Xenopus tropicalis: one gene and its partners. The protein of the gene in region 5 binds, or shares a complex with, the protein of the main gene of each other region. Links are inferred from orthologs where the notes say so. Each region holds a gene or a part of one and is shown on either strand. Other genes may lie near its edges. The genes, in order: snrpf, snrnp200, snrpg, cwc27, sf3b5, sf3a2 and phf5a.

Region 1 (4,091 bases), on a different chromosome or scaffold from region 5:
AAATTGCCCCCATAGAGAGTACCCCCAATTGCTCCCATAGAGAGTACCCCCAATAGAAAACACCCCCCATACACAGTAGCCCCCAATTGCCCCCATAGAGAGTACCTCCAATAGAAAATGCCCCCCATACACAGTGCCCCCCATTGACGCTGCTTCTTGTGGCTCCTGCTCCTTATGCGGCTCCTTCTACGGCGGCGACAGGACCTTTTATAAGGTTGCGCCCCGTGCGTACGTGTGACATCACACGTACGCATGGGCGCAACCTTATAAAAGGGCCTGTCGCCGCCGTACGAGGAGCCGAATAAGAAGCAGGAGCCACAGGACGAGACGGAGCCGGAGTGCTGGCTGCAGTCAGCGCATCCCGCTGGCCTGGATAGTTTAATGAATGTTCTGCATTTCCGTAATGCGGGACATTCATTGAACAATCCGGGACAGCGGGATGCGCTGTAAAAACCGGGACTGTCCTGCGAAAAGCGGGACAGTTGGGGGGTATGCAACCCACTTAGGGTCACAGTGTAATGCAACCCCTCTCTCACTTTTTCTTTCTTTGTAAAAAGCGCACAGATTCTGGTATAAAGGGGGACAGCTTGCATTACATTGGGAGACAAATGTGCTAAAGAGCACAGAGAAAACTATCATGGTTTTCTTTCTACCTGTGGAATCAGGTACTCCTGGGTGATATCACTCCAACTTGCAGCGCAGCAGTAAAGTGTGACTGAAGTTTATCAGTCACATGGCTGTAGCACCCTGGGATATGAAGAATATGGCTAGCCCCATGTGAACTTTTAAAATTAAATATAAAAAAAAACCTGTTGAAGTTCTATTAACCGATGCATTTTGAAAAAAAACCTTTTCTCATGACAGTATTCCTTTACCCATTCTAATTTTACCCTCCAAGTGCCACCAAGTCCTCGGAAAATCAAGGCTTCTAAATCTGGACTGTTGTGCATAATAGTGAATATAATTACATAGCGTTAACAAATAATCAAAACAAGGTACGAAATACAAATAGACGGGACGCAATGTTTGTATTTGTTGTAATTGCAGTCAGCGCAGTATAGCAACTTGCATTTATTAGAAATGCCTAATTGCGGTTCCTGGGGGAAGGCCCTGTAGTACTAGTAGTACTGAGGCGGCCCGGAGTCAGCACAGAGGGTGAGCCTTGTACAATACAACACCATTGTGAAATAATCCCGCCTCCACTGGCGATTGTTGGAGTCATGTTGGAAATCCAACTCCAGCCACTAGAGGGAGCAGTTAGCCATTCAACGCGTGTCGGCTCTCTATGGTCTTTTCTCCTGTCGCTTCCGGGCCTTGGCAGCCATTTCCCGCTTTGCTCCAGCGGTGTGTTCTACGGGACGCTCCGGGGAGGAATTTTTTTTATTGATCTGCAGTTTGTTGTGAGGCTGCGGTCGCACCATGGTAAGTACTGGAGGTGTGCGAGTTCCAGGCCTGGCGGGACAGGGGGTGTCAGTGTGTAGGGATGGGGGGGAGTGCAGGCAGCATGGTGTGTGGGGCTGTTCATTATCCCGAGTAGCAGCTTATCCCGCCGGATTTACAGAATGGGTTATGCAGTTGGTTCGGGTTTGTTTGGTTGCTTTATTGTTAGGCCTGTGTGGAAAGGCGTAACGTGTTATCTTTGCAGCGTGTGTACTCGCTAAGGGCACGTTGCACGGAAAGAGCCTGTATGTAAGGCGCGGTGTAGGCTGCGCTGAAATATAAGTAGCCATGCAGCGTGGGATGGTACTATCTCTACTGGGGATGAGCCGCGAACATGGGATGTTTGCGTCTGTTCTTAAAGCGGTGGCACATGGGAGTTGATAATTTCCTAAAGGCCATGTGTTCCTCTGCCTATCATATCTCAAGTGGTAATGCTACAAATGGCATGTTATACTGTTTGTACTGTGACTGCCCTCAGCCAGCAGTGATGTGCAGCCTTGTGGCCCTCCAGCTATTGAACTGCACTTTCAACTATCAGGAAGAATAAATAAATGCCCCTTTTTCATTTTACTGTGGTAGTGTAATAATATATAGCCTCCTACCAAAGAAAGGATGATTTCTATTAGATATGGATTTGTGGTTGTTGTTGCTGGCCGTGCCCCAAGTATCATTATTAGGCAGGTGTCCCCTTTTGGTTTCTTGGAAGGGAGCATGAGAAAACTGAGGACAAATAAAGGCAGAGATATAGTATTGAAAATGTATGCATATGATTACTTCAGGTTATTGCATGAGTTGACGTTTTAATCACAAGACCTATTGAATATTTATATTATAAATGATTATATTTTCAGAGTTTACCACTGAATCCAAAACCCTTCCTTAATGGCCTCACTGGTAAGCCAGTTATGGTAAAGCTGAAATGGGGGATGGAGTACAAAGGCTACTTGGTATCAGTGGATGGATACATGAACATGCAGGTAAGTAATAGCACTGAACATGTCAGATATTATAGTTGGTTACTTGCTGTTATAAGTTAATTTATTAGATTATTTAATAAAAAAAAATATATATTGTATGCATGTGTATATATAATTTATATTATATTCCCTTTATATTGTGCCAGAATTGTATCTGGGCTTTCCTGTTGCCATTTTAGAGCAGTGTATGAGACATTTGGATTGGATTGCCTCTGTCTCTAGTTAACACTAGGAAATTGCACAAGTAAAATGGTTTTGGGCATCAGCAGCCCATTGCTGGCAATGAAATACATTAAAGGAACAGTAACACCAAAAAATTAAAGTGTAAAAAACTAACTAAAATATAATGTGCTGCTGCCCTGCACTGGTAAAAGTTGTGTGTTTACTTCAGAAAGTCTTCTATAATTTATATAAATAAGCTGCTGTGTAGCCATGGGGGCAGCCATTCAAAGGAGAAAAGGCACAGGCACATAGCAGATAACAGATAAAACACTATTGTACTCTACAGAACTTATCTGTTATCTGCTATGTAACCTGTGCCTTTTCTCCTTTTTTCCAGCTTGAATGGCTGCCCCCGTGGCTACACAGCAGCTTATTATATAAATTATAGTAGTGTTACTGTAGCAAACACACCAATTTTACCAGTGCAGGGCAACAGTGCATTATATTTTCATTACTTTAAAGCTCTTTTATTTTTTGGTGTTACTGTTCCTTTAAGTGCTGCTTAAGGTTGCATGCAATTAGCTGGAGTGCTTGCCAGAGTGTTGTGACACTTTATAGTACCATTGCTAACCCTAGTAGCATTAGCACCAATTAGCCAGCTTAATTGCTTTTAAAACATAAGTAACAATTAATATTAATATTTCTGTATTGCAGAGTTTTTTTTTTTTATAGTAATGATGGTTGAGAAAGTAATGAGTGTCCATTATCCAAGGTTGCTGTGATGTGTGAGAAGCTTTTTCTGTTGGTTAATTCATTTATATATATTATTGCAGCTTGCAAACACAGAAGAATATATTGATGGTGCATTGTCTGGACATCTTGGAGAAGTTTTGATAAGGTAAGAATTGTGCACTGGGGATGCTTTGTAGGTGGTCACATTACAGCATATATGTCTGCTTTTCTGAAATAGAAAGCAAACTCTTGTCAGCATGTTAAGGCAACTGCATGTGCCATATAGATTGTAAGCTCTACGGGGCAGGGACCTCCATCCTCTTGTGTCTTTGACTCTTAACTTATTGCAACTGTAACTGTATCTTGTATGTATTTGTATTTATTGTTATACTTTGTATTTATCTATTATCTTATTAACCCCCTATTTGTATTAATGTATTCTACTGTACAGCGCTGTGTACATAAGTAGCGCTTTATAAATAAAAATATATATACATACATGTGAACCAGTGAAAAATGTAAAGTATATTCTGTAAAAAAAAAAAATGTACTTTTTAAATAGTTTCTTATCTAAACTGTGTAATTTAACAATTATTTAAAAAGGCAACAAATTGTCCTTTTAAATATTCTCTTTAAAGCACAACCTCCAAGGAGGCGTGAGTAGATTGCCCTTTTTTTTCTTGATAACTACCTAGTAGCAAGAATTGTATCCCTTCTCTAGAAAAACAATGTGACTGCTACCTTTTCTCTGCTAAACTGTTTAACTATTGTATTCCTTTT
Region 2 (3,500 bases), on a different chromosome or scaffold from region 5:
TGATGAGTGAGTTTTTTTTCTACATTTGTGTTGGTTTATTCTGCAAGAATTCTTTTAGGGGGCCCATTTACTAACCATCGGATTTTAAGTACAAAAAGTCACAGGAAAAAAATGCTGCGACTTTTCAGAGATTTACTATTTGTCTAAACGGCTAAAAATCCATATCTGACAATTCGCAAGGTTAAACTTGCTAAGTTGATGTAAAAGTCAAGGGCAGAGGTCCCTTCCCTTTCATTGAAGATTCTTCATTTGAGGAAATGAGTTTAGTTGAGTTTGAAAATTTTTTTAAAAAAAGACAAATTTTAGAGTTTTTGTAAATGTGCCCCTTAGTGTATTGGTCTTGTTAATGTCGTCATACACACTGTAAATATCCCCTAACTTAAGGTTTTTGACCACTCTTATATTCTTTTGCAGTTATGTATTGCACACTCTTGGCCAGTGCTCAGAGTGAAGCAGAGAAAGAAAGGATTATGGGCAAAATGGAGTCCGATCCTGAACTCTCTAAATATCTATACCAATTACAGGAGACTGAAAAGGAGGACCTGATTCGGGTAAGAGATGATGTTCTTAGAGAGGAGATTCTTTTGCTGTGTTTTCATTTATAGGCATTTATATATATTATTTTATTTTCAGGAGGCACGTGGGCACAGAGACAAGGTTAGGCAGTTAAACGTAGACATGGATTTGGAGAACATGGAAACAGAGCAAGGAGAGGTAGGCATGGAATACTGTTCCAAATTAAGACTTTGTGCAGTGCCAAGGCAATGGTAAAGAAGGAACAAGTGAAGCAGGATAATGTCATTTAAAATGTAACCAATTTCTTTAAAAAGGTACCTAGATTAATAGCATTTGAAATTTTATCCTGCAGGTTAATTACATATGTAAGCCAGTAGCAAAATAGAAGCTGTATTAAGCTAATATGATAAAAGCCATTTGTTTTTTTGTGATAATCCAAGGGTCATTTTGGTTTTGTCTTTTTATTTCCATCTAGGCTTTCGCTCCTCGTCAAGTATTGGACTTGGAGGATTTGGTTTTTGCCCAGGGTAGTCATTTCATGGCAAACAAACGATGCCAACTGCCTGATGGCTCCTTTAGACGTCAGCGAAAAGGGTATGAAGAGGTGCATGTGCCTGCCCTTAAACCCAAACCTTTTGCTTCTGATGAGGTAAGTGGAGTTCTTGATATTGTTGGACTAATTTTCCTTGTGAACTTGGATTGCCTCACTTTTTAATTTTTCTTTCCTTTTACCTGTTCAGCAACTGGTCCCAGTTGAAAAGCTACCTAAATATGCTCAGTCTGGCTTTGAAGGCTTCAAGACTCTGAATAGAATCCAGAGCAAATTGTTTAAAGCTGCATTGGAAACGGATGAGAACCTGTTGCTCTGTGCTCCCACCGTAAGGACTTTTTTCCTTATAATGCAATTTGTACACTTTGCATAATGTGCAAATATACTAATAGAGCCTTTTGTAGTTCACCTTTCAAACACTTATTTCAGTTCAGGTGTTGCTTTCAGTTTTTTTCATTTTTGACCATTTTTCTTTCTTAAACTGAAGTTTCAATTTTAAGGTTGTTCTCTCTGGTGTTTTAGTCATCACAGTTATCCAGACGCAGACTTTGAACTGTTACAGTAGGTAATAACATTCCATAGATGGTGCTAAGAAATGTATCAACTAATGTAGCAAAAATGTAGCTACAGCAGCTGCTGCAGAGCAACATAGGGCCAAAGATAAGAAATGTTTCAAATTAGAACAGTTGGTGATCCCCTCCCCCTTTTCAGAGCTGCAGCTGGGAAATGTGAAAAGATGTAAAATAAAACTTTAATATTCAATTAGAAAAAAGGTCAAAACTAAAATATAGAAAACAGTTTAAAAAAAGTATTTTATTTTAGTAACTTCCTGAAAACAACTAAACTGAAAAAAGTTTTCAGAAGCCGAACAACCATTGTAATGAATGTTTTTTCACTCTACTATGCACAAGGTGAAACTGCAGCAATTCTTAAAGGATGATCAGTTTCAGACTGATGCCCAGAAGTAAACGTTTTATACAATTTAAATTCTTGCAGTGATAGACTTTCTTTTTTTCCCCCAAATCAAGCCCCTTTCCGATATCTACTGGTGAAAAATGACTATGAGTTGTCTGGGCTCCCTCCTACCTTTCCCCCATTACATTAGTGTGAAAATTAAGCATTAGGCATTTCTTTATTAATCGGAAATTAACACATTTTCCTTGTTTATTATAATGACGAAGAAAAAAAGAAATTGGAACTGTGAATTTATTTTTCTCCTTTTGTTTTTCTAGGGAGCTGGTAAAACAAATGTAGCTCTCATGTGCATGCTCCGGGAGATTGGAAAGCACATAAATGTGGATGGCACCATCAATGTGGACAACTTCAAAATAATCTACATTGCTCCCATGAGATCCCTGGTCCAGGAAATGGTGGGCAGCTTCAGCAAGGTAACTTCAATTCTTACATCCCAACTGAGCCATATTTCAATGCATAATATTGGTGCTTTATGAAGTGGGAACATGTACCTAACATGGTGTTACTTACCTCATATGCATCAATACCAACTCCTAGTGTAGCTTTTGCTTATCACAAGAAGCATTCTAACAGGGCATGTTGGGCCTTATTGTCTGCATTTTCCTTTGCAGCGTTTGTCAACATATGGCATTACCGTGGCAGAGTTGACAGGAGATCACCAGCTATGTAAAGAAGAAATTAACGCCACACAGATCATAGTTTGTACCCCAGAAAAATGGGATATCATCACCCGTAAAGGAGGAGAGAGAACATACACTCAGCTTGTCCGTCTGATCATTCTGGTGAGGTCAAGGGACTAGCAAAGCTTGCCATCTTAATCTTTTGTGCCTTGTTTCAGTGTGTAAAGTTTTAGGCAACCTATTAAGTTAGTGGACTGTCCTGGAAATGACTAGTGGAAAGTAACTTATATCTAACTTGAGACTTTTCTTCAAGGATGAAGTACACTTGCTGCACGATGATAGAGGTCCGGTGTTGGAGTCTTTGGTCGCTCGAGCGATTCGTAATATTGAGATGACACAGGAGGATGTCCGGCTTATTGGTCTCAGTGCCACTTTGCCTAATTATGAGGATGTAGCCACATTTCTTCGTGTGGATCCTGCCAAGGGGCTTTTTTATTTTGACAACAGGTATCTGCTTCAACCATAGAATTAAGAACAAACTGCATTTCTAATCATTAATGTTTACTAGTTCATGAATTATGCATCCCAGTGTTTGTGTGTGCGTTTGGCTGTTAGTGGTGCGGCCATTACAGTCATACAGTTGCATATAATAGGAAACAAGGAATGGTCACTATTAAACATAGTAGATGAGCTTGAAAAAAGAGACACATGACAAGTCTAAATTGTTTGAGAAACAATTTTACAATATTTATCTTTATTTAAACATCTTTTCAGTTTTCGTCCGGTGCCACTGGAACAGACCTATGTAGGCATTACAGAGAAAAAGGCCATCAAACGTT
Region 3 (4,300 bases), on a different chromosome or scaffold from region 5:
ATTAAGTGGCCTATTAAACAATTTCAACATTAAAATATATGTATATAGGGATGCACCAAATTCACTATTTTCAGATTTGGCCGAACCCTGGATCCTTTGTTAAAGATTTGACCGAATTCCAAACCAAATTTGTACATACAAATTAAGGCAAGTAAGGGTTAAAGAGAACCCCACGCAGAGTGTGACAAAAAGACAGGTGTTTTTAAAAATTCGGATTTGGTTCGGCCAGGACCTTGGATTAGACTTAATCCTGCACCGAATCCCGGATTCAGTGCATGCCCTTGGTGTGTTTGTGTGCTACAATAGCAGGAGGCCCTTAATATATAAAATGGCAATTTTCTATGTAGGATTACCCAATAGCACGTGCTACTAAAAGAAGTATATTTTCATGCAATTTATTTAGAAGATGCAGGGTTTTACATCTGAGCTGTTTATGCAATATATTTTTATAGAGACCTACATTGTCTGGGGTATAGATTTCCTTTGCTAAGAGGCTTGGGCCACACTGTGGCTTTCAAACATAAGTTTTACTCATTTGAACTTTTTGCCCCAGTTTCTTTTTCCCCCAGTTTCTTTTTGCCCCAGTTTCTTTTTCCCCCAGTTTCTTTTTCCCCCAGTTTCTTTTTGCCCCAGTTTCTTTTTGCCCCAGTTTCTTTTTGCCCTACCCATTTCTGATGAAGTTTGCAGCAACAGTACTTGCGGTTTAATGGTAAGGAACAGAAACCTGAACAGAAAGATAAGTCCCTGTGCTAAGCAAATGTAGCAGGAAAACTAGTATGTTATATTAAAGGACAAGTAAAACCTGGTATATAAGGCATCCCACAGCCATTAGTCCTGTACATTAAAAATGACCAATTCCTATTGGACCCCCAGGCATTTGTGCCCCTTCCATTCAAGTGCATGGGAGTGCTACCCCAGGGGGACTTTGAATGGCAGCAGAGTATAATAAAAGAAGTAATGGAAGATGGGCTGTAACGCCCTATGACATAAGACTAATTACACCAGACTATGGTACCTGCATTTTCCTAATGTTGTCCCTTTCCAAGCTCTTCACCATAGTGTCTATCGCATTTTGAAGCCGGTTCTGCTGTTCCTCTGCCATGTCTGACAAGCGTGTGCTCCAAGGGCAACGCACCTCTCTTCCGCCCTTACACATACCCTTCCGGTTACGGCTTGCCCTTACTCTAACTCTACGGCATCTACGTTGTTTTGCGGCAGACATCTAAGCTGACCGACTAGCTTCCATAGCCCCAAGTTTTTGTTAAATTCTTCTATAACCAATCAGGGAAAACGTATATATGTAATCAAATTTGCAATATTTCTTATATACTTTAATATTTGATACACAATGTTATATTTAGCCCAACTAAAGCCGGCTAACGCGTCTCCTTTGTATTCTTTGGTGGTCGTCATAGCGACCGTGGGGGTGGGCGGGGAAGCGCATACACGTAAGACGTGCTTACGTCACATTAAGGCGACTGCGTTACTTGGCGGCAGCGACCGGGGCTTTGTACACGAGGAACGAAAATGAGCAAAGCGCACCCGCCCGAGCTGAAGAAGTAAGGAACGGCCCGGGGGGGGGCAGTGAGGGGCAGAGCGGAGGGGGCAAGTGAGGGGCAGAGCGGAGGGGGCAAGTGAGGGGCAGAGCGGAGGGGGCAAGTGAGGGGCAGAGCGGAGGGGGCAGTGAGGGGCAGAGCGGAGGGCAAGTGAGGGGCAGAGCGGAGGGGCGGCTTAGGCTGTAGCCGGGGAACATACACCCAAACCTGCAGCCTCCATTGCGCTGTTTCATGTTGAATGGCCCGTTTTGGAGCATGGAGGCTGCAACCACATCATTCACACAGAAAGAAATGGGGATCTTTTCGATTCCCACATATCTTCCAATTATATTTTGTGGTCAAACTGATTGATTGCCCATATATTGCAATATACTCCAAGCTGGCCAACTACATCAGTCGCAGTCATAGGATTCATTAAGGATTCTAGTATTTCATAATGTGCACATGGATCTCTGGGAAGAGTGAAGTAGCTCTTATGCCTGATACTAACCCTATAAGGGAACTGCATTGGCTTCTCTTGGGTCCCTAGTCTAGTGATCTGAGCACAGGTGATTAGGTCTTGTTGAGTTATTATTATAATATAATGTATTTAAATGTTGTGTACTTTTTACTTTTAGGTTCATGGACAAGAAACTGTCTTGTAAGTATTGAAAAATTTTCCATCTACTTGTAAAAAGAAAAAAAAATAAAGGAAAACTATACCCCCCAAACAATGTAGGTCTCTATAAAAATGTTTCATAAACAAGCTCATATGTAAAACTAAATTAATCTAAATAAACCATTTTCTTAAAAATATTATTTTTTTAGTAGTATGTGCTATCGGGTGGTACTAAATAGGAAATTGCCATTTTATGAATTAAGGGCCACCCCCTGGGATCATAGGATTCACAGTGCACACAAACAAGCCAAGACACACATACATGTTAGGCCCCATCAGCCAATGAATGGGCAGAGTTCTGCCTTTTGCTCCCACACTACTCCCTGTTACAGTCAGAGCTGCATTATTTCCTGTCAGCTGATCTCTGAGGGAGCACACAGCCCATCACTAAATGGTGGCTCAAGGGAAAGGATGTAAAAGGGCAATATTTACTAATATATATTCCAGTTTGACAATATTCTTTAATAGGCCACTTAACAAAATATAAACTATCTGTTGGTTAAGTATTCGTTCTGGGGGTATAGTTTTCTTTTAAAAAATAAAAATATATATGATGAGGTCTGTGCTCGGACCTTATTCAGGTGCTTGGCCAAATAACAGTGTTATTTAGAATAAGAAGCAGCAGAGAGATGGTGCAATGAAGGATTTATTCAGGATACAGGACTGCTGTTCCTCACTCTATATAAATATATGCAGTTATAAGGGAACTGTACCAGGTGACTCCCCAAACCAGTAAACCACCAAAACCTTGAAGCATCTGATCAAATTTCCTTTCTTTTCTTTCTTTCAGTGAAGTTAAATGGTGGGAGACATGTCCAGGGGATTCTGCGTGGCTTTGATCCCTTCATGAACCTTGTAATAGATGAGTGCACAGAGATATCAGGGGGTGGCCACCAAAACACCATTGGAATGGTGGTAAGTGTTAGACTGAGCTGCAACATATATTGTATGGTCCCTTACTGTGTGTGTAATTTAGGGTGGCCGTTCATGGTCAGATTTTCCAATTTTTAAACTAACATTTGAGGACAACGCAACGCAAAATATAATTTTTTGCCTAATAAAAGAAAACAGAATTCTCAGCTTTGCAATATACATTTATTACAAATTTGTAATGGTTTTTGAGTTATTTGTATATATAATTGCTATTAGAAGCAGTGTTTGTCTGTCCTTTTCTATTCTCTGCCCTGGTGGCTCTGGCATTTGAAACAATGTAACACAAGGCAGCCAACTGACAGACCTGACTTGGGGAAGGAGACTGACTTTTGCAACATTGTTTAAAAAGTAACCACCAGGAGTTCGGCAAATGCTGCTTTCAATAGCAATTACATTTACAAATGGCATTTAATCATACAATGTTATCCACAGAGAAGTAGCACGTTAAAGATGTCGTCATTTTGTTGCCAAAAGGTAAAGTAATATTGTGCATCTACAATGCTATATCAGCTTGTGGCGGAAGCAGTATAAACAGGAAGTGATGTATTTTTCATCAATTTTTATCGATATTGGTATGCTATTTGCTATTACAACAAGTGAACGAATGAGTTCTGCTTGTTTGTAATGTGGCTGGTTGCCTTGGCTTGCTGGTATTGCAGCAAGGTATTCTTTTGCCTGTATTTATATTTACCAACAGCATGCACATGACTTTTCATAGTGTTTATGTGGTTAAAATGTAGGGTTGGCAACAAACATTTGGGTCTTGTCATATGCGTTCGTTGACTTCTGCAGGTACTGCCAATATATGCACAGAAAGCGACTGTTCAACGACAACTTTCACACCAACTCTTATCGTTGCCCAACTGATATTTTTAAGAATGTTGGGCCAATTAGTAAATTCTTACATCTAGAATTGTTTGTACACTACCAGCTATACAGTTTGTCCTGAAATCAGTCGTGAGACTACAAAATCTGAGCATGTATGGCTGCATTTAGTGGAATATGGTCAGATTATTAGCAGCTAATATTGCAAAGTGTATTGGCTTCTGTGAAGTTCAGATTAAATAATGACTAATCGGCTGAGCAGCTTTAGTACTTTAAAGATGGCCAGTTTAAAGAGAGGGATCTAGCCCATGTTTTCTGGGTAGGATGA
Region 4 (4,034 bases), on a different chromosome or scaffold from region 5:
TTTGCAACGTTACCTTCTAAACAAAGCTGTACAAAGTTTCGGCATGCTCTTGGTGCCTCTTTTGACCACAATTCAATGTCAATCTCTCCAGCAGTTGTTTTCAGCAAAACCTGGAAAAGTGGTAGTAAAAATTATTATTTGGGCAGGATTTCTTCCTCTTCTTGCTGCCTTTGTCTTTCACGTGTGGCATATAGTATGACACAAGTTCACACAGGACATCCTACCCTACCCGTGAGCATTATTTAAATATAAAAAAGTTGGGGAGTAACACAAGCACGAAAAAGTTTTCTAGGGGTTACAATGAGGACTGTGACTGGTTATTAGGTAGCCCAACGTGGATGGGCAGACTACAGGAGGCTCAGTTTGGCAGTACACATGGTCTTTATGCCCCCAAAATTTGCATCCAAGCCAGAGGCTACTGGGAGCAACTTCCAAGGGGTTGGGGAGCAACATGTTCCTTGCAAGCCACTGGTTGGGGCTCACTGCTGTAGACCTTCTTTACCTCTTACATGGAACTAGATATATAATTATCACAGCGTAGTTCAGGAGATACTTATGGGTACATCATATAGAAAGAAATGGGATGACATTGAGCAACAATATGGAGGTGAGCAAGTTGATGGCAGTGGATGTGATCTACTTGGACTTTGCTAAAGCATTTAGCAGTACTGCACAGAAAGTTAATGGTAAAATTTGGCCTGGAACATAGTGCTGGGCGGTATGACCAAAAATTTATATCACGGTATTTTTTTTATTATATCGGTATCACGGTATTTGACGGTATTTTTTTTTCCCCATGCATGATTAGGTGACCACCCCAAACACCCCCCCCCCCCCAATTTTTCTTACTATTTCCGGGTTGCACGCGCGACGTCAGCGCGCACAACCCGGAAATAGTAAGAAAAATTGCCAGGAGGCGCCCACACCGGTATGCCGGTAAGTTAAAAATTTTTATCATTTTTTTTTTAAAAAAATGGTGTTCGGTATATACCGGTATACCGCCCAGCACTACTGGAACATAATATTTTAAATTGGATAAATAAATGATTGAAGGATAGATTACAGTGTAGAGAGAGGTGGTAAATAGAACATTTTCTAATTGGGCCAGTGTTGTTAGTGGAGTACCGCAGGGGTCAGTCCTTGGTCCTTTGCTTTTTAACTTGTTTATTAATGACCTGGAGGTGGACATTGAAAGTACTGTTTCTATTTTTGCTGATGATACTAAATTGTGCAAAACTATAAGTTCCATGCAGGATGCTGCCGCTTTGCAGAGCTGACAAAGCTGGAAAACTGGGCAGCAAATAAGGTTTAATGTTGAAAACTGCAAAGTTATGCACTTGGGTAGAAATAATATAATAATGTAATAATATTACACACTAAATAGTAGTGTGTTGTGGGGATCCTTAATAAAGAAGTATCTGGTTTTTTTTGTAGATAACAAGTTGTCTAATTCTAGGCAGTGTCATTCTGTGGCTACAATAAAGTGCTTAAAAAAAGGGCATTGACTCAAGGGATGAAAACATAATTTTGCCCCTTTATAGGTCCCTGGTAAGGCCTCACCCTGAGTATGCAGTGCAGTTTTGGGCTCCAGTCCTTAAGAAGGATATTAATGAGCTGGAGAAAGTGCAGAGACTGCAACTAAACTGGTAAAGGGGATGGAAGGGTTAAACTATGGGGTTAGACTGTCAGGGTTGGGGTTGTTTTCTCTGGAAAAGAGGCGCTTGCGAGGGGACATGATTACTCTGTACAAGTACATTAGAGGGGAATATAGGCAGATGGGGGGGTTCTTTTTTTCCCATAAAAACAACCACCACACCAGAGGCCCCCCCTTAGGAACGGAGCTTCCATTTGAAGCAGCGTAGGGGGTTCCTCACGCCCCGGGGAGGGCAGTGAGGTTGGGGAATGCCCTTCCTAGTGATGTGGTAATGGCAGACTCTGTTAATGCCTATAAGAGGGGCCTGGATGAGTTCTTGAACAAGCAGAATATCCAAGGCTATTGTGATACTAATATCTACAGTTAGTATTGATGTTGGTATATATAGTTTAGGTATGTTAGTTTGGTATATAGCCTATATATGTGGCTGGGGTTCGCCTGGAGCCCATTCATGTAACTAAAGGACAGCCTGCACTGGTGCATTTGGGCACCTTCCTAGCAGGACATTAGTTAGTCAGCTCAGAAGCTCTGTCCTAGGGCTGAATATGCAGGAGGAGTCTCCATAAAGCGCAGCACAGTCCTCTCTGCTCCCCATGTGGATTATACCAATGTGCTGACAGCTGGGGGGGGCAGCTACATGACGCGAAACTAAAACATTTACCCTGGGAAATGTATTTTCACAGAAAAACATTGAGTAAATTTACTTATAGACTTTACATTTCCTTTATCAGGTACCGCGCTGGGAGAGATATTTCAGCAACAGCAGATGGGAATCCCATGCTAAATATTATTCCTTTATCCTTCTGCCCTACAAGCCCCTTACTTTCTCCCGCTGCTCACCTTGCCGTTTGTCGGCGGCTCCTGAATGTAAATATTGCTCATTGTTACTCAGCTTCTTGCAAACAAACTCCAGCGTGCAACCTGACAGGACGGGACCGCCCACATACAGCCTCAGAGGGGTGCCAGAGAAGATTCTGATTTAAAAATGACACAGCAAAGAGCGTTAACAGGACTCGTCCCATCCACAGTTATATAGTAGCTCGTATTTTGTTACCCGAATGCTCCAAGATCACAGCGTCTACAGCAGAGGATGATTACACCAGAGTTGCATTGCTTTAGTTCCCCCCTTTCTCTTAGTGTGGCCGAAAGTACACTTCCCGGAAACCAGAGCTTTCATTTGCGTTCCACTGCGCACCGCTTATTCTGTTCCGCTGAGAAACAAGTCCATGCTGTGATTGAGTTCCGAGGAAGTGAATTGGTTAGGAGGCGCGCAGTAACTGTTTGAGGGGTGCGATCTTCTGTGTACGGACGCTGAGAATTGTGACTTATGGCTGTCCCAGGTTAGTCTGATTTATAAATCACGTTTTTTACCTCACCTGATCCATCTGATTTTGATAGAGAGGACTTTTATAATACAGGCTCGAGTCTGAACTCGACATGTGTAAAGTCTCTGCAAAGTGCATTATGTTGTACTGTACACTGTACGCACACAACCCAACTCCCCAACCCAATTAGTTTTATCCCCCGCTATTTTATGCCCGAGTCCCCAAAATACGTAGGACATCATTTTTTTCTGCTTTTGAAGGGGTGGTTCACCTTCAGTTAAACTTTAAGTATGTTATAGAATAGCCTGTTTTGAGCAACTTTTCAACTAGTCTTCATTTTATATTTTCGGTTGTTTCTGCCTTTGTCTTCAGGCTCTTAAGGTCCCCATACACGGGCCGATAGAAGCTGCCGATATTGGTCCCTTGGACCGACTCGGCAGCTTATCGGCCCGTGCAGGGGCAGAAACGATCGGACTGGCCGACCGATATCTGGCCTGAAATTGGCCAGATATCGGTCGGCCAGGTTAGAAAATCCTGTCAGACCGGGGACCGCATCGGCTCGTTGATGTGGTCCCCGAACCGACTGCCCCATTGCTGCTTGCAGAATTCGATCGTTTGGCCCCAGGGCCAAACGATCGAATTCACCGAAATTCCTCCCCGATATCGCCACCCGTAGGTGGTGATATCGGGTGAAGATCCGCTCGCTTGGCGACATCGCCAAGCGAGCGGATCTGCCCGTGTATGGCCAGCTTTAGGCTAAGAACCCACCGAGCGAGTTACTTGCCCACAATATCGCATGCGAGTAGCTGCTCCAAAAAGGACTACTCACGCAGAGTTGCCTGCAGGAGGAAACTTTGTGCAACTTCGGAACACGAAACGATACAAAGGGCTTTCCACCAGCGACTTCTATTGTTACCTGTGGAAAGCCTTTTCGAAGCAGTTACTCACATGTGATAGATCTCTCCTAACTCACTCAGTGGGTTTGTACCCTTAGGGCTCTAGTACATGGGGAGATTAGTCGCCCGCGACAAATCTCCCGTGTTGCGGGCGACTAA
Region 5 (2,514 bases):
CATCTGCCATTGACTTCTACATGATCTTGGCAAGTTTAACTGGAAATTCTTAGATTTGTATTTTTAGTCATTTTGAAACAGTAAATCTCAGAAAAGGCGCAACTTTAATTTCTGCAAATTTTAGCAGAACTCTTTACTGTTGAGCTATTTTCCTCAGATTTTAAGGTAATTTTTTTTCTCCTTTTCCTTTCCTTTTTCTTTTTTTTATTTTATTACTTTATTTAGTTTGTTAACAATATTGCTTGCCTACTTTCCACTTGTGCAATTTAAAGGACATGTAAACCATACATTTTCCTACCATATATATATAAGTTGGGCACCCAAACAACTCCATTTGTACTGCATATATCCCCTGTGTTTGTCAGCACCATTACATATCCCTAAAGCAAATAGTGTCTTTTACCTGGCAGCCATTTTCCTTCTGACATCATCAGTGACATTTACATCTGCAAACAGCTCATGTGCACTACAAAGTTCATGCAATGAAGAATGCTGCCTTACGCAGGCACAACTTACTTTGATCAAACGCACAAATTTCCCCCATGTGTAACAGACCTAAAATGATTCAACAAGCTTGAATTACTTTAAAGCACATTTATTACCTACTTCAGTTCTAACTTTTTCTTTCAAGCAAAAATAATTTTTCTTTAATAGATCTTTGCTTGTTACAAGAGGAATATACTGATAGGTCAATTTAACCCTTCGGTGTTTAACCCTGTGAAAAGCCTCTCCAAGTTATTATGTGCCAGAAATGCCCTTATACTGCCAAAGTTTACATGTCTAAAATGGGTAGTGTCTTAGTTGCTCCCTTAGGGCTCTAACATCACTTTAATGTATGCATTTACAAACACATGCTGAATGCAAAAAATTAAAAACTGTGCGCACAAAATATTTTTTGTGTACATAACTGAGAAGAAATTAGAGGGGACATTGAACCCTTGCCTTTATATAACTTTAATAAATCGCAAGACTGTGTGCTAAAATCACGGATATTATCACTTTAAAGGTAAAGGTTGGAAGGCGAGTAATCTATATGCCGCTGGGTATTGTTTCATGTGTTAACATGTTGCGGAGGTTACTATTCAAAAAATGGTTTATTCCTATAGAATTGACCCAACTGCAACCACTTTATATTTTTCCATACAGCTTTCCGCCTGTTCTCTCCCTGTGTCCCACAACTGAGCATGCAGGGAGTTTCGATTTCGCTTGAAATAGGCGGGCCAATCGCTGAAGCGAAAATGAGCAAAACACTACAAAATTACGAAACTTTATTTATTTTAGTCGGCGTCGATATATTGGTCACTCCCGGAAGCAACGTAACTTCCGGCTGCTGTAACACGCTGACTTCTTTTGTCCTCCGGAAGCCAAAGGCGCTACCGCTGCATATCATAACACCAAGTCGTGTACAGTGAGCTTGCTGTTAGCGCTTGCCATCGCCATGACAGACCGATATACTATTCACAGCCAACTGGAGCATCTGCAGTCCAAGTATATCGGCACGGGCCATGCGGATACTACTAAGTGGGAGTGGCTGGTGAACCAGCACAGAGACTCTTACTGCTCCTACATGGGCCACTTTGATCTGCTCAATTACTTTGCCGTGGCTGAGAACGAAAGTAAAGCACGGGTACGTTTTAACCTGATGGAGAAGATGCTGCAGCCGTGTGGGCCCCCAGCTGATAAGCCCGACGACTCTTAAGCGTGGCGATGGTTTCTTCTCTGAGGCTGCCTGTTATGGAGTTCTTGGAGTCGATCAAACTTATCGCCGTTCGTCTTAAAGTTTCCGGGACTTAAGCAAGAGATTCCCGCCTAATCAACAGGCGTGTATCATAAAGCAGGACTGTGCTAATTCTAAATGGAGTTTCTGAATTCCAGGAGTCCGTGATAAAGTACTTTGAGGACGTTTGTGCATTTGCCTGAAGTCTCTTCGAAATCCTTGTACGACTAATCTAGGCTTTTCTTTCAACTGCTTATCACTTGTAATAAAACAATCAACTCTTGTTGAATCCTTGTACAACATACCCTTGTTAGTTTTTTAATTGTTCACTGTGGTTCACTTATTAGATTAATAAGTATGTAAAATGTTATTGTCAGGGTGCTATGTTTGGTGTTCTTGAAGAGAATCTAGCTGCCCATCCCCCCCCCCACCCAAAAAAAAAAAAAAAACTGGAAAAGGTAAACGTAGTCAGGGTGCTTTTAGTAGCCAGCAACCCTAGGGTCAGTTGCAATTAGGCTTCATAATTGTTTTTTTTTATATAGCTTTTTGTTGAGTTGCTTTCAGTTTTCATATTCTTACATCTATCTGGTTGCTATTATTTACCCTAGGCAGTGGTTTGAACTGGAATATGAATAGGAGAAAGCCTGCATAGACAGGGGAAAAAAAACCAACCATTGCCACACAGATCAATGGTTTTTGTCTGGCAGTGTTAGTGACCCCATTTTAAAGACGGAAAGAGGCAGAAGAGAAAAGCATGTAATTTAAAAAAAAAAAAAATATGAAAATCAATTGCAAAG
Region 6 (3,996 bases), on a different chromosome or scaffold from region 5:
GCCCAACCTCACTAAATCTCTTGGGCTGCATGGAAGCAAATCCCACAAACAATGTTTCAATATCTAGTGGCAAGACATCTCAGAAGAGTAGAGGATATTTAAGCAGTAAAGAGTGGACCTCATATTAATACCCTTGGATTGAGATGGCAGGAGTTTAAAACCTTCCTGCCTGTATGAAATCTACCACTTTGGGGTCATGGTACTTGCAGTGTTTTGAATGCTGCTGCTAGTAGCAGTAAGCAAAACTCCTCTATTCAAATCCTTTAAAGGAGACACATTGGATAAATGGGAAAAACCCTAATTTTGTAGGCAACTATGAATAATATATGGTACTGGTTTCACTTTGGGCTAAAAATGAATCCTATCTAAAAATGGTCCTTTTATTGGACCTCCCTATAGATCCTATCCATTCTCTGTCCGTGTTTCAAATGAAGGGTGGGCGTGTCCATAATGGTCCCTGCTAGAAGCACAGCAGGAGGGGGATAGCCAATCACAGCCTTGCACTCACACAAGCAAAGACAGGCTTCAGTTCCCAATCAGATCAGCCTAACTGCTGATTAGTTCCTATCCTACAATGCAGTGTACTGAGAGCCGCCAGCTCCCCTGCACATAAAGAGAATTCAGCCAGCAGGAAGTGGAGCAGATGGGCGGGACTAGTGGGGTTGTGGTGGAACACAACTTTTTTTAAGCACAATCCTTCTATATCTAGAGGAGTATAATTCACTGGTATATTCTTATTTTATATATATGATATCTCTCCTTTAACATTGAGTTAAATGGAATGTAGCACAGGATGCTTAGCGTCTTGTACTTATGCTAAAAAATGTTTGCATGCCCATTTTTGACCACTGCTACAATTAAGGCTGATGCCAGACGTGGCGTAGGGCTGATATTTTCGGCAAGCGGAAAAACGCTTGGCGAAAATACAAACGCGAGACTTTGCATTCTCTCACGTTTTCATGCGTATATCGGCTACATGTGCCTGCACCCGAGCGTATTCCATTCATTCGGGTGCAGGCACAAGTAGCAGGCGTAGGGCTGTATTTTCGCCACGCCATTTTCCGCTTGCCGAAAATATCAGCCCTACGCTACGTCTGACATCAGCCTTAAGGTTATGAAAACATCATAGCCCTTGCTTTGAAACATTTGCTTCAGTGGGTAACTTAAGTTTGAATTTCTCGTCAGGTGTTTGATCTTGCTTGTATCCTCGACAATCCCCAACCATGGATTTCCAACACAGAGCCGGAGGAAAGACCGGCAGCGGAGGGGTGGCTTCTGCATCTGAAAGTAACAGAGACAGAAGGGAGCGACTCAGACAACTTGCTTTGGAAACTATTGACATTAATAAGGTACTATAAATATTTAAGAGGGACCTAGGGTTGCATTAATAACAATTATTTAATTTAAAATATATATATATTTTTTTTATAGGATCCATACTTTATGAAAAACCACCTTGGCTCTTACGAATGCAAGCTTTGCCTCACCCTACATAATAATGAGGTAAGTTGAAGGAGAAAGATTGCAAGCACTCATTTTGACTTTAAAAATAGTTTTTATAAAAAAATGTGTTAGTACCACACTTTGGCCAAAATATATAACCTCACTGGTCATGTCAAGGCCCGTCATTGTATGTGAGTTGTACACTGTCTATTAGTATTCTAAGTCTGTAGTGCATTTAAAATCAAGTCCCCTGTGATGGCCATGACAAGTAAAGTTCCATGTAAAAATGGCTCATTTGATTAGTATTATAGCATATACAGGTCCTTTTCAAAAAATTAGCATATTGTGATAAAGTTCATTATTTTCTGTAATGTACTGATAAACATTAGACTTTCATATATTTTAGATTCATTACACACAACTGAAGTAGTTCAAGCCTTTTCTTGTTTTAATATTGATGATTGTGGCATACAGCTCATGAAAACCCAAAATTCCTATCTCAAAAAATTAGCATATTTCATCCGCCCAATAAAAGAAAAGTGTTTTTAATACAAAAAAAGTCAACCTTCAAATAATTATGTTCAGTTATGCACTCAATACTTGGTCGGGAATCCTTTTGCAGAAATGACTGCTTCAATGCGGCGTGGCATGGAGGCAATCAGCCTGTGGCACTGCTCAGGTGTTATGGAGGCCCAGGATGCTTCAATAGCGGCCTTAAGCTCATCCAGAATGTTGGGTCTTGTGTCTCTCAACTTTCTCTTCACAATATCCCACAGATTCTCTATGGGGTTCAGGTCAGGAGAGTTGGCAGGCCAATTGAGCACAGTAATACCATGGGCAGTAAACCATTTACCAGTGGTTTTGGCACTGTGAGCAGGTGCCAGGTCGTGCTGAAAAATGAAATCTTCATCTCCATAAAGCTTTTCAGCAGATGGAAGCATGAAGTGCTCCAAAATCTCCTGATAGCTAGCTGCATTGACCCTGCCCTTGATAAAACACAGTGGACCAACACCAGCAGCTGACATGGCACCCCAGACCATCACTGACTGTGGGTACTTGACACTGGACTTCAGGCATTTTGGCATTTCCCTCTCCCCAGTCTTCCTCCAGACTCTGGCTCCTTGATTTCCGAATGACATACTTTGGACCACTGAGCAACAGTCCAGTGCTGCTTCTCTGTAGCCCAGGTCAGGCGCTTCTGCCGCTGTTTCTGGTTCAAAAGTGGCTTGACCTGGGGAATGCGGCACCTGTAGCCCATTTCCTGCACGCGCCTGTACACGGTGGCTCTGGATGTTTCTACTCCAGACTCAGTCCACTGCTTCCGCAGGTCCCCCAAGGTCAGGAATCGGTCCTTCTCCACAATCTTCCTCAGGGCCCAGTCACCTCTTCTCATTGTGCAGCGTTTTCTGCCACACTTTTTCCTTCCCACAGACTTCCCACTGAGGTGCCTTGATACAGCACTCTGGGAACAGCCTATTCGTTCAGAAATTTCTTTCTGTGTCTTACCCTCTTGCTTGAGGGTGTCAATGATGGCCTTCTGGGCAGCAGTCAGGTCGGCAGTCTTACCCATGATTGCGGTTTTGAGTAATGAACCAGGCTGGGAGTTTCTAAAAGCCTCAGGAATCTTTTGCAGGTTTTTAGAGTTAATTTGTTGATTCAGATGATTAAGTTAATAGCTCGTTTAGAGAACCTTTTCATGATATGCTAATTTTTTGAGATAGGAATTTTGGGTTTTCATGAGCTGTATGCCACAATCATCAATATTAAAACAAGAAAAGGCTTGAACTACTTCAGTTGTGTGTAATGAATCTAAAATATATGAAAGTCTAATGTTTATCAGTACATTACAGAAAATAATGAACTTTATCACAATATGCTAATTTTTTGAAAAGGACCTGTAGATGCTGAGTTGTTTCATTAATACCTGTCATTGCCCCAGCCCTTCCAAACATCAGTTAATATGAGGACGCACTCATAATCATCCACCGTGTAGATAATGTGCAAATAAAAAGTAGTTTATTTACAAAAACAGCATGCAAATAGCCTTGTGCATTTCATGCCTAAGTGGGCACATAAACAAGGGCCATGATGGAAATGGTTGGTATTAATGTAAGTGTTTGTGAGAAGGATCTGTGCCTTTTGAATTGAAAATATATTGGCAATGCAAAGACTTTGAGCTAATAACTCAAACTAAGTAGTAATACATCTAGTAAATGTTTATGAGTAAAGTTGGGGATATTAAAATTGCAAATGTATAAATCACTTTGACATTATGCAGCTACTGGGAATTTCCAAAATAGCTGGGGCTAAAAATGCAAAGCAGTGGTATGTTGTGTTGCAAAAGTTCAATAGAATGAGCTGGCAGGTGCGTTTAGACACTAATGGGATTATGTAATAAAAAGCACTGAGTTTGCCCAGGTGCTGTGACCTATAGCAACCAATTAGCAGGTTGCATTTACTGGTCACCTGTTTAAAAGAAAAAATCTTATTGGTTTAAAAGGCATAAAGGTCATTTTCTTATCGCATAATTTTATTTTTTTTATTGTGACATGC
Region 7 (2,992 bases), on a different chromosome or scaffold from region 5:
AGTTGGAGCTGAATAGCCTTGTCTTTTTGAGTTTAATTGATTTGTAACATTTTTCAGTCTTACCATGTATAGTTATAGTATTACAAGTCTTAAAGGGTAAGGAATTAATTAGGGAGTCCCTAAGGAATATAATCCGTTACCTTGGATTTTGGGCTTGCTCTCCTCTTTACTGAAAGGTGCACTAGCATAGTGGTGTATTTCATTAGCACAGCACAGCCATCTTCCAAATGATCCCTTGGCATGTACTATAGGCTTGCATAGGAAATTGTGTGCAGTAGAGTAAAATCAGGGATTTATCTTTCCTGCATGTGTGCGTAATCAGCTGCAAGGGATTCCTGGGACTTTACACAAGATGGCAACAGAGAATGGAATGGAAACTTGGACCAGTCCATTTTTCAGCAAACGAGTGGATTTTTTTAATTTACCATCACCCAGTTAGTCACCTTAGAGAGAATAACACTCTCATTGCCCTAATAAACCGACACTGCTTGCCATGTCCTTTTATCTCTGTTACAGGAGCAAAAAAAAAAATGTGCATATCTGGAGAGTACCCAAGCCTGTTAAGAAATTAACAATTTAATTATTTTTTTTAATCTGCAGGTGATGGGAAGTGTGTGATTTGTGACTCGTATGTACGCCCGTGCACTCTTGTGCGTATTTGTGACGAATGTAACTACGGCTCTTACCAAGGGCGATGTGTGATCTGCGGAGGGCCTGGGGTTTCAGATGCTTATTACTGCAAAGAATGCACCATCCAGGAGAAAGATGTAAGTAAAGACAAAATAAAAAAAAATATATAGCAAAAAATAGCTGCATTCGCTTATTAGAGAGTGTGCCTGGGTGCACACCGCCGAAGAGTAAATATAGACTTTCATATAAAGCAGGGCACTCACAGGATTTAAAAGTATGGTGAAAAAGAAATAAAGTTTATTTGTTATTTCAACGTTTCGGTCTTCCTTGATAAAGGTCTCAAGGAAGACCGGAATGTTGGAATAACAAACTTTATTTCTATAATTTAGAGTTGAAGCTGCCATTTTTAGTTACTGTCAGAAATGGTTAATGTTTCCTGTGCTATTAAATTACATGTTTTGTGTGGTCTTTACTGATTAAATTAGTTTAAGTGAGGGATCTAGAACCCAGAATCCCATTATCCAAAAGATGTTAGTAAGGGAAGAGTTGCTTGCTTTATTTTTTTCTCTAATAATTAGACCGTATCTTGCACTTGGTGATAATGAAGCTGCATATAATCGGTAATGATGGCAGCACATGTTGGATATTCATAATTGTTGTATTTATTTTGGTAGCCTTAGGGCACAATGCTCCAGTTTACAGAAGCACCCTATATTCGGGAAAACCCCAGGACCGTGCATTCTGTATACACAAAATCTTTTCCCAAGGCAAGCTGTATCACTTCCCATTTTCTTATGTGACATGCAGGAATAATCTGGTTTCCTAATTTTCCATCTAAATGTACTGCATTTTTCCTAAACTATTAAAGGATATTTTTTTCCATGTTCTTCCACAGTTAGTTACATAGTCATCACCTAAAAATTCCCTTTTATGCCTTTTTTTTTTTTCATAAAAGCTTAAAAATCTTCTGTTACTTTTTTGTTACATTACAAGATTTTTACATTGCCTTAAATAGCACATGGGCAATTATGTGCAAATTCACAACACCAAAGGAGCCAAAACCATCCCACTTCTGTAATGACAGTAGCCTGGAATTGTGGTCTGCAAGAACATAAGTGCCAGCATCTTTTAAAAAGAAAATTTTTTTTTTCAGAAATACAGGAATTTTTTTTCTTTTTTGGAAATATACACAATATTAAGTATTGTTTTCAGGTAAAACACATCCATAGCCATTATAAAGGCATTTAAATATCACAGCTGCCAATCATGTATTGCCTGCCCTGCCTCTATGCCTAGGCATAGAGGCGGGGCAGGCAGTTACTTTTATTTTCCATTCAGAACTCGCTTTCCCCGTTTCTCCTCACCATCTAATTGTGTAGCCAGTACGTGGGTATGGCCCCCCCATTCTGGCTAATATACAAGATTTTGGGGTGATACAAAGCTAGCTTTAATAAGTGTCTACAAAATGGAACCTGCCTGTTTGCTGTGATTATGTAATTCCAAGACTGAAGGAAACAAGATGTATATTATTTATATATTGTAAGTGAAGTTTATTTTGCTTGACAAACACAATAGAAAATTATTTGGAATTATTTCTTAGGGTGACAGGCCCCCTTTAATTACTTGTGTTTATAGTTTTGTTATTAACGTTTTCATTACTTTTCTACATCTATTTTGCAGAGAGATGGTTGTCCCAAAATTGTAAATTTAGGCAGCTCCAAAACAGATCTCTTTTACGAAAGAAAGAAGTATGGATTCAAGAAGAGGTGATCCTGCCTTTGGATTTTCTGTGTGATCTTATCTTTTTGTGAAAAACTGATTTTGTAATGTTGAAGAAATCATTAAAATGTCTTTTACAACAATGCCCCTTCTCATTTAACATCTTCTTTTATCCTATAATGTAAAGAAACCATTAAATACATTTAGAACAGGTTGCAAGGTATTTAGGCTTACTCTTTATAATGTGCAACAAAAGTAGTGGTATACTGTTAACCTGTGGCGAATAACTGTGGCACCAAGGGAAAAGGATATCATACCTCCCAAGTGTCCCATGGAGTCACGATCTTTAACTGGCTGCCTGCAGTCCTGGATCACCTATTAAATGTCCAGCACTGGATTTTTTTTAATAAAAATATATATTTTTTTTTCTAGTAGTAACTGATCTCATACCTGTATTTGCCACTACCATTTTAAAGGGGTGGTTCACCTTCAAGTTAACTTTTAGTATGTTAGAATGGCCAATTTTAAGCAACTTTTCAATTGGTCTTCATTATTATTTATAGTTTTATCATTATTTGCCGCCTTCTTTTGACTCTTTCTAGCTTTCAGATTGGGGATCACTGACCTATGCTCTGCTAGCCTA

What was found.
Region 1: sf3b5 (region 5) and snrpf share a complex: the UniProt entries of both Homo sapiens proteins name them as parts of the minor spliceosome. The link is inferred for Xenopus tropicalis from reciprocal best matches to the Homo sapiens genes SF3B5 and SNRPF.
Region 2: sf3b5 (region 5) and snrnp200 share a complex: the UniProt entries of both Homo sapiens proteins name them as parts of the minor spliceosome. The link is inferred for Xenopus tropicalis from reciprocal best matches to the Homo sapiens genes SF3B5 and SNRNP200.
Region 3: sf3b5 (region 5) and snrpg share a complex: the UniProt entries of both Homo sapiens proteins name them as parts of the minor spliceosome. The link is inferred for Xenopus tropicalis from reciprocal best matches to the Homo sapiens genes SF3B5 and SNRPG.
Region 4: sf3b5 (region 5) and cwc27 share a complex: the UniProt entries of both Homo sapiens proteins name them as parts of the minor spliceosome. The link is inferred for Xenopus tropicalis from reciprocal best matches to the Homo sapiens genes SF3B5 and CWC27.
Region 6: sf3b5 (region 5) and sf3a2 share a complex: the UniProt entries of both Homo sapiens proteins name them as parts of the 17S U2 SnRNP complex. The link is inferred for Xenopus tropicalis from reciprocal best matches to the Homo sapiens genes SF3B5 and SF3A2.
Region 7: the proteins of sf3b5 (region 5) and phf5a are in contact, whole or in part, in a cryo-EM structure (PDB 7EVN), measured with the Homo sapiens proteins. The link is inferred for Xenopus tropicalis from reciprocal best matches to the Homo sapiens genes SF3B5 and PHF5A. Residues at the interface, in NP_112577.1 of Homo sapiens: Arg4, Tyr5, Thr6, Ile7, Gln10, Leu14; in NP_116147.1 of Homo sapiens: Pro6, Asp7, Leu8, Ile9, Phe10, Cys11, Arg12, Ile88, Leu91.

What each region holds. Positions count from the first base shown.
Region 1 is NC_030679.2:57,034,658-57,038,748, forward strand, and holds the start of snrpf (small nuclear ribonucleoprotein F), read left to right. Parts: upstream 1-1,291; 5' UTR 1,292-1,419; coding exon 1,420-1,422; intron 1,423-2,291; coding exon 2,292-2,417; intron 2,418-3,412; coding exon 3,413-3,477; intron 3,478-4,091. UniProt on the Homo sapiens protein: Plays a role in pre-mRNA splicing as a core component of the spliceosomal U1, U2, U4 and U5 small nuclear ribonucleoproteins (snRNPs), the building blocks of the spliceosome.
Region 2 is NC_030679.2:125,093,387-125,096,886, reverse strand, and holds part of snrnp200 (U5 small nuclear ribonucleoprotein 200 kDa helicase), read left to right. Parts: coding exon 1-6; intron 7-414; coding exon 415-551; intron 552-633; coding exon 634-714; intron 715-991; coding exon 992-1,165; intron 1,166-1,256; coding exon 1,257-1,394; intron 1,395-2,298; coding exon 2,299-2,454; intron 2,455-2,652; coding exon 2,653-2,823; intron 2,824-2,974; coding exon 2,975-3,168; intron 3,169-3,435; coding exon 3,436-3,500. UniProt on the Homo sapiens protein: Catalyzes the ATP-dependent unwinding of U4/U6 RNA duplices, an essential step in the assembly of a catalytically active spliceosome. Plays a role in pre-mRNA splicing as a core component of precatalytic, catalytic and postcatalytic spliceosomal complexes.
Region 3 is NC_030679.2:122,085,895-122,090,194, reverse strand, and holds the start of snrpg (small nuclear ribonucleoprotein G), read left to right. Parts: upstream 1-1,500; 5' UTR 1,501-1,527; coding exon 1,528-1,559; intron 1,560-2,173; coding exon 2,174-2,196; intron 2,197-3,004; coding exon 3,005-3,129; intron 3,130-4,300. Other genes in the region: protein FAM136A, read right to left, coding at 1,016-1,102. UniProt on the Homo sapiens protein: Plays a role in pre-mRNA splicing as a core component of the spliceosomal U1, U2, U4 and U5 small nuclear ribonucleoproteins (snRNPs), the building blocks of the spliceosome.
Region 4 is NC_030677.2:188,226,393-188,230,426, forward strand, and holds the start of cwc27 (spliceosome-associated protein CWC27 homolog), read right to left. Parts: upstream 2,801-4,034; 5' UTR 2,709-2,800; intron 2,629-2,708; 5' UTR 2,537-2,628; coding exon 2,495-2,536; intron 111-2,494; coding exon 14-110; intron 1-13. Other genes in the region: protein SREK1IP1, read left to right, coding at 2,982-2,994. UniProt on the Homo sapiens protein: As part of the spliceosome, plays a role in pre-mRNA splicing. Probable inactive PPIase with no peptidyl-prolyl cis-trans isomerase activity. As a component of the minor spliceosome, involved in the splicing of U12-type introns in pre-mRNAs.
Region 5 is NC_030681.2:58,017,282-58,019,795, forward strand, and holds sf3b5 (splicing factor 3B subunit 5), read left to right. Parts: upstream 1-1,436; 5' UTR 1,437-1,438; coding exon 1,439-1,699; 3' UTR 1,700-2,014; downstream 2,015-2,514. UniProt on the Homo sapiens protein: Component of the 17S U2 SnRNP complex of the spliceosome, a large ribonucleoprotein complex that removes introns from transcribed pre-mRNAs.
Region 6 is NC_030677.2:102,627,584-102,631,579, reverse strand, and holds the start of sf3a2 (splicing factor 3A subunit 2), read left to right. Parts: upstream 1-1,196; 5' UTR 1,197-1,223; coding exon 1,224-1,349; intron 1,350-1,431; coding exon 1,432-1,503; intron 1,504-3,996. UniProt on the Homo sapiens protein: Component of the 17S U2 SnRNP complex of the spliceosome, a large ribonucleoprotein complex that removes introns from transcribed pre-mRNAs.
Region 7 is NC_030680.2:120,355,630-120,358,621, forward strand, and holds the end of phf5a (PHD finger-like domain-containing protein 5A), read left to right. Parts: intron 1-600; coding exon 601-767; intron 768-2,310; coding exon 2,311-2,400; 3' UTR 2,401-2,492; downstream 2,493-2,992.